Xenopus tropicalis: one gene and its partner. The protein of the gene in region 1 interacts with the protein of each later gene in a pairwise test. Links are inferred from orthologs where the notes say so. Each region holds a gene or a part of one and is shown in the gene's direction. Other genes may lie near its edges.

What was found.
Region 2: the proteins of abl1 (region 1) and msh5 interact in binary tests that used the Homo sapiens proteins (3 or more experiments, as listed by UniProt). The link is inferred for Xenopus tropicalis from reciprocal best matches to the Homo sapiens genes ABL1 and MSH5.

Annotation. Positions count from the first base shown.
Region 1 is NC_030684.2:12,813,145-12,816,971, reverse strand, and holds part of abl1 (tyrosine-protein kinase ABL1), read left to right. Parts: intron 1-447; coding exon 448-621; intron 622-3,827. UniProt on the Homo sapiens protein: Non-receptor tyrosine-protein kinase that plays a role in many key processes linked to cell growth and survival such as cytoskeleton remodeling in response to extracellular stimuli, cell motility and adhesion, receptor endocytosis, autophagy, DNA damage response and apoptosis.
Region 2 is NC_030684.2:74,931,567-74,935,393, reverse strand, and holds part of msh5 (mutS protein homolog 5), read left to right. Parts: coding exon 1-47; intron 48-1,263; coding exon 1,264-1,390; intron 1,391-3,289; coding exon 3,290-3,439; intron 3,440-3,827.

The DNA of each region.
Region 1 (3,827 bases):
CCCAGCTGTACCAGTGCAGGAATGGCTGCCCCGGGGCTACACAGCTGGGTATTTATATAAACTATAGTAGTATTTCTGTAGCAAACACCCCAGTTGTACCAGTGCAGGGCAACAGTACATTATATTTGAATTTACTTTAAACAACTTTGGTGTTACTGGTTTTTTAATACAACTCTGTTATAGATAGGGCAGTTCCAAGTGGGTCATGTGTCGGCATTGGCTTCCGACTGCCCCCTTACCCCGCACGCCGGCCCATACCATAAACAGCGCATCTGTTATCCTATTCAGCAGTTCGGCTCCTGAAAAACAAACCGGTTGCACCGGGGCCGTAAAACCAGTGCACACACAGATGGCTAGCCGTTTATACATGGAATTTTAACACTTTTTCCCCTCTTCTCTCTCTCTTTATTCTCCCCCTCCTGCTCCATCTCCTGGCTTGCTCCCCAGAAGCCTTGCAGAGACCGACAGTTTCCGACATCGAGCCTCAAGGTCTGAGCGAAGCTGCGCGTTGGAATTCCAAGGAGAATCTTCTGTCCGGGCCAAGTGAAAATGACCCCAACCTCTTTGTTGCACTGTATGACTTTGTGGCCAGTGGGGACAACACTCTCAGCATCACCAAAGGTAAGAACTACCTGCATGTGTATGGGGGGGGGGGTCTGTTCATGCTGTGCTCACTGCCAGCCAATCTGCTTGTGGGCACAACATTGTCTGAATTGACAAATAATGAAAAACACTGTGAATTGTTGATGATTTTGCCTTTAAGAATGATATAGATAGGGTCTTCATTTTGTTTTCTTTTATGTTTTGCTCAGTAGCTCTCCAGTTTTGATTTTCAGCAGCTATCTGGTTGCTAGGGTCCAGTTTACCATAGCAACCAGGCAGTGGAGGTGAATGAGAAGCTGGAAGATAAATAGTAGAATGCTGAAAAGAACGATAATGAACAATGAAACTGTAGTACACTGGGAAAAATCCAGTTGGGCCCTAGCTTTCATTGGTCCCCCTGCCAGTCTAGATCTGCGGGGCAGGGGATTGGTTTGTGGCAACCATAAGTGCAGGTATGGTGGGGGGTGATGGGCTCTTGGGTCCTAGTGGGCCCCAAACACCACAGTCCAACTCTAAAGTGTTCTAACTGCCCCCCTTTTACAGGAGACCCAAATAAAATGGATTGATCAACTTTTTGACCCCCCCCATTTTTAATTTTTTGGGGCAGGCGGGATTATGGGGACCAAATTAAAATGAGATTGTGGGTTCCTGATAGTTTAAAGAGGATCTAAACCCAAAAATGAACTCATGTAACGTTCTTCAGAGTTTTCCTCTATGTGCTTAACTGTTCACATGAACTTACTGGTTTTAGTGGTTTTGAACAGTTTTATAATGCCAATATCAGACTTTCAGCTTAACCTTTAGTTTGACATAGACATTGATATTCTGAGACAATTTGCAATTTGTTCTTTTTTGTGTTTTTTTCAGTTATTTAGCTTTTTGTTCAGCAGCTCTCCAGTGGAATTTCAGCAGCTATCTGGTTGCTAAGGTCTTGTTTACCTTAGAAACTAGGCAGTGGAATATGAATAGGAGAGGGACTGAATAAAAAATATAAGGATTTAAAAGTAAGAATAATACAGGAATGGGATCCATTATGGCATTGTGCAAAACGATCCTATGGGTTTATTTGATATTTAAATAATTATTTAGGTGACTTAAGGTATGGAGATCCAAATTACAGAAAGATCCCTTATCCAAAAAACCCCAGGTCCTGGGGCAGGAAGAGGAAATCAGAAACTATTAGCAAAAAATAAAAAAAACTATTGCTCTGTGAGGCTACAGTTTTATTGTTATTGTTATTTTTTGCAACTTTCTTTTTTTATTCGTTCCCCCTCCTATTAATATACCAGTCTCTCATCCAAACCATTCCCTGGTTGCTAAGGTAACTTGGACCCTGGCAACCAAATAGCTGCTGAAACTCCAAACTGGAGAGCTGCTGAACTGAAAATGAAATAACTAAAAAAACTACAAATAATAAAAAATGAAGACCAATTGCAAATTGTCTCGGAATATATCGCTCTACATCATACTGAAAGTGAATTTAAGTTGAAAGACTGGGGAGCCAGTGTCTAGGGCCCTCCCTGCACTCCTTTCCCATGATCCTTTGTTCAGCCTTGGGGAAGGAAGAGTACAGGTTGATCATTATTAGCAACATAGATGCTGAGGTTGAAAAAATGCCCCACTAAGGACCTTGCTGATACTGAGCCAGAGAAAGGCAAATATAAAATATTAGCTTTCGGGAAAATAAAATCCATCTTTTAGCTGACAGCAACTTAATGGGAGTTTTCTTATTTTTTGGTCTGGGCATTGGGCGCTGATGTAGGACTTTGTTATTTACACTGAAATGTCACCAAATCTGTCTTGTGATTCCGGAATGGGAAACCTTTGGCTCTGCTTTATAAGCTTGCCAACAGCTAGAGCCCTGGCCGCCCCCCATCCCTCTCCTTGTCCTGCATTGTCTTTCTGTGTTATAATCAATGCTTCCTGATGATCCCTATTGTCTTAGGGGCCGGCAACCTGGGTGCCCAGCTACATTCCCCCTCGTAATAAGGCAGTAATAGGTACCAGTGCAGGAACGGCTGCCCCCGGGGCTACACAGCGGGGTATTATATAAACTATAGTAGGGTTTCTGTAGCAAACACCCCAGCTGTACCAGTGCAGGAATGGCTGCCCCCGGGGCTACACAGCAGGGTATTTATATAAACTATAGTAGTGTTTCTGTAGCAAACACCCCAGCTGTACCAGTGCAGGAATGGCTGCCCCCGGGGCTACACAGCGGGGTATTTATATAAACTATAGTAGGGTTTCTGTAGCAAACACCCCAGCTGTACCAGTGCAGGAATGGCTGCCCCCGGGGCTACACAGCAGGGTATTTATATACACTATAGTAGGGTTTCTGTAGCAAACACCCCAGCTGTACCAGTGCAGGAATGGCTGCCCCCGGGGCTACACAGCGGGGTATTTATATAAACTATAGTAGTGTTCCTGAAGCAAACATGCTCCCATGTCAATCCCCATCACAGTTAGAAGTATAGCAGCATTGTGAGTCCAGCCTATCAGAATCCTGCCTGCTTTCCATCAACATGTGTCATGGTTCGACCCAAGAGGGGTACCTATAGAAAACCTAAGAAACAATTAGGGTTTACCTAGCCATAGTGGCACATTCCTCTTAAAATCTAGAATGTGCCACTATCCAAACCTGGACTTGAATTCCAAAATAGGACCTGGCATTCCCAGTACCCAGAGGCACAAACAGCCCCCCCCACCAGCAAAATAAATAACAACTGTCTATGGCACCGTACAGCAGCCCCTCTGGCATTTGCCTGAACCCACAGATTGCCAGTCCGGGTCTACCACTATCCCCTTAAATACCCCCACCAACACCACTGGTCTTTGAGCTTTTGTTAACCCCTTGCATGCTGAGTGCCTTTTGATCCTGCCACATGTGGCCAGACAGCATTGGCAATCAGATCCTTGGCAGACGGTGCCATAGATTTTACAAGCTGCTAACCACAGCGTAGCCCTAATTTAAGGACAACTGTTGGCTCTTGTTAAGTAACATCCGCAGGATCTCCAGCCCTTGTTAAACCACATCCCCCTTATAAAGAAACTTCTTTCCTGTAGTACTGGGATTTGCAGCTTATCAGCGGCTGGAGGGCCGCTCTTTACTTGCCCTTTACTCAAGCTCCAAGTGCTATTTATAGTTTAGAGATGTCGCACGTTTGTGTGTCTGTATCCAAGCTCAGTGGGCAGCAGGAAGATCAGTAACGGATGTGTATAGATAA
Region 2 (3,827 bases), about 62 Mb from region 1:
CGTCCCCGATACACCATGGGCAACTCCATCTACATCAAGGAGGGGAGGTATGTAATATGTAATACTTGTTCAAGTTTTCTTCATGTTTGTCAAATCAGTCAAATTAAATTTGTAGTTTTTCCATAGGCATTAGAACAGGGGGTCATTGGGGGCGTGGCCCTCCTAGAATTATCTGCCCCAGTTTTTAATTTTTAGGTGGGCAGGCAAGTGAGAGGCAAGAAAAACTGCACACAGCAGCAAAACTTTTCTTCTGCCTACCCCACTAAAAATGATCTTCCACAGCACCTGGGTTTATATTGTTATACTCAGTGGAAACAAAGATTTTGAAGCTAGACTATAGATCATAATTGCAGTGACATAAAAGTTACATAAAGGTTATGTAAGATGCATGCACATCTGTTCCATGCATCAATTAGATTGGGTACCAATGTGTCCCAGGTTATATTACAATGTGTTGCAGTTTTATACACCTTTGTTATACATGAGCAAAAAAAGACCTTTATTGAAAATGAATCCTGCTTATTCTTTTCATTTAAAAAAATATTTTCCATTATAAAGAATCATTGGGAAATGGTTTGGTTTTTGCCTAAAACTACTCCCTCTCCCCTTTTATATTGAGTAATTTGATTAAAGTGAGATATTGAGCACTATAAAAAAACCCATAGTGGAAGCCTTAGTTAAGGGGTTGATTGGGTACACTTTGCCAAGGAGAGGCCTGTTAACTAAGTTGCCATTTCTCAGATCAGTTAGATCATGAGTCTTTTGGCATTCAGCAGCACCCTTCTGCTGACAGTCTGAAGGATTTCTACCATTGACTGACATAAAAGACAGACTGGATGCAGTCATTGCGACCCTAATTGTCTATGCCCTTCTTGTATTCGGTTAACCCTAGGGTTGCTGATTCTCTCTTGAGCCAAGGTATTAGCAGTCTAAAAGTGCAAATATCTGCTAAAAATAGAAAGTTGATGTAAATTTCTAAAGTGCTTAGTAAAGAAGGGGGAGCCAGAGTGATGAGCAGTCGTTTGGGGGCGAAGCATGGCGCACAGGGAGAGTGTGCAGGACTTGAGGGCCTGAACTAAGGGTAGGCAGGCACCCCCACACTGTTGAGCCTTAGGCACGTGCCTCTTCTGCCTAACCCTAGTTCTGGCCCTGCTTTAATGTAAGAACTAAAACAACCCTATTATGCTGATCAAAAAGTCTCAAATCCAAATGTTATTGTCTGCCTCTTCTCTCTTCCCACCCAGTGCCTCTTATCTTTTATAGACATCCTCTCATGGTATTTTGCTCTGGAACTTTTGTTCCAAATTCAACTCTCAGCAAGCAGAATGAGAAAAGAATCAAGATAATAACTGGACCAAACTCTTGTGGGAAGAGTGTGTATCTAAAACAGGTAAAATGGCAAGAGACTGTGAAATACTGAACAAAGGAAGTGATGAAAAAAATAAGGATATAGAAAGAGGAAAAACATCAAAAAGTCATCTTTGTATAGTACAAACCCCAATCTTTGCTTTAGTTCTTTGATGTTAATAAAGTACAGGAAAATAGCCGGCTTGCCACCATTAAGGATTTTGTTTTCTTATCTTTTTGCTTTATTTAAAATAAATAATATTTTTATTCAGTCTTAGTGCAATCTATGTCTTGGGTACACTAATGCATGATTATTAAATTGCATATATTTATTCACAATTTGTGAATGTTATTCAATTCAGTAGGGGGCAGCAGCAAACCAACCAGAGCCTTCAGAAGCAAATCTCACTTGCAGTGGTAAAATTACACAGGGTATGCAGTGAAACCCTGAAGAACAGCTACTGTTTCAGAGATTGTGAGACTGAGACAGGCATTGATTTTGTAAAATTTTCAGCAGCACCATGCACTTGGTATTTCTGCATTCATAGCCTTACTGTTGGGCATGAGGCACCTGTTGAGAGCAAAATATTAGCGTATAAGAAATTACACTGTCTAAAAAGCTAACAAACAGAAAGTAGTATGAGTTGATGCTTTTGCAATTCCCCTACTAATAATTACGGCTCTGAATGATCACATGCAGCTGCAACTCAAATGGAAAGGTTGCTCAGAATGTATGTCAGGATTACACAGTAATGTAATTTTCACTTTATATACTAATAATATTGGATCAGTTCTACATAGTTTACAATCTGAATGACTACAGTCATAAGAGGGTCATTCATTAAGTTAATGACAGATTGCTAAGTGCATAAAAATGGCCTCTATACACCATAGTATTTGCACTTTGCACCCTGGCCTGCACCTTGGTCATACCCTGGTAAGGACAGGGCTGAGATCTTGCCTTAATGGCATGGCAGGCAGAGCATATCGAAGAGAAACTAGCGGATCAATAAAATATTAAAATTACAATATATAAACCCAGTACAAACATCTTGCCCAAATAAAATTTTCCTGTTGTCCCAAAGGCTCTGACATCAGCTTCTTTTGAACTGAAAATATGAATGTGTTGATAATAACATTAAATTGTTTGGTTGAAGTTACATCAGTGGGATGTGTGTCAGACCTCTTTGCTCTGTGCTACAAATTAGCATACACTGTCTGTCTAGGGGGTACCATGTTTTCATATTATTATTATTATTATTATTTATTAATCATGTCATCTTTATTTATAGAACTTAATGGGGAAATATATCTTTAGAGGAATAAAGAATATAGAAAACTATCTTTGTCATCATATATTTGTGATCAGCATCATAAAAGAGTGAATGACTTAAACTTTGCTTTCACATTTTTGCAAGCTGCAGGGAAAAACAGAATTCTATAATCTATACAGAGACTCATAAACCTAGCAATTCTTTTACTTTTGATTAAATAGGAATGACTGTTTGCTTTCTAGATACTCCTGCAAGTCCAGCTTTCAAGTCAGATAGGATGAGATTTGTGGAAAACATTTAATTACTAACTTGGATATACGCTGGAAATTTTCATGTTGTTGCCTTGTAATATTATTGGGCGGGCATTCTCTCTAGAAACAGGGTGGCACTTTTAACAAATAATTCACAATTTTGTGCTTATAATATTTGACTGGAGGCTGTTTTATTATGTTTTGCCATGGAGATGAATTGATACCAACCATAAGTAAATACATAAAAAAAATATTTTTTATCATTTGGTGTTAGAAAATGAATCTGCTTTGCTATATTGCCTTATTCATCTCCCTTCATATTTTCTGAATTTGTTCCTTTTCCCATAGCCATCAGCCCTGTTTTTACTACGGTTATTTAGCTGTCATATATTTCCTACTTAAAATTATGTTTCATAGGTTGGACTCATAGTCTTCATGTCTATGATTGGAAGTTTTGTTCCAGCTGCAGAGGCTGAAATTGGACCAGTTGATGGCATCTTTACCCGTATTCAGAGTCTTGAGTCTGTGTCCCTTGGGCTATCTACTTTCATGATAGATTTAAATCAGGTATATAAAATCTGTTTAAACCCTTGGCTTACAACCCTCTATGATCTTGCTGCACTATGTGTTTCCAGAAAACATGATGCAAGCTACAAATCAAAAAGAAAAGGGGATCTATTGTAAAAATGAAAATTTAATATAAGATTTTCTCAGTTAAATAAGAAACTTTTTAAATATATAAATTAATAAAAAATGATGTATGGGCGTGGAAATAATCACGTTTCTCTTCACTGCCCCCTTTCGGCAATCAGTGTCTCTTCATTCTCTCCTATTGCAGGAGATTGTTTCGGAGGTTGGTCCTTTTGCCTAGAAGATGTATAAGAGCTCACTCTCAAAATAACTGGCTGGAAAGGCAGTCCTATCTCTCTTCATGCAGGATGCGTGACGGATTCAG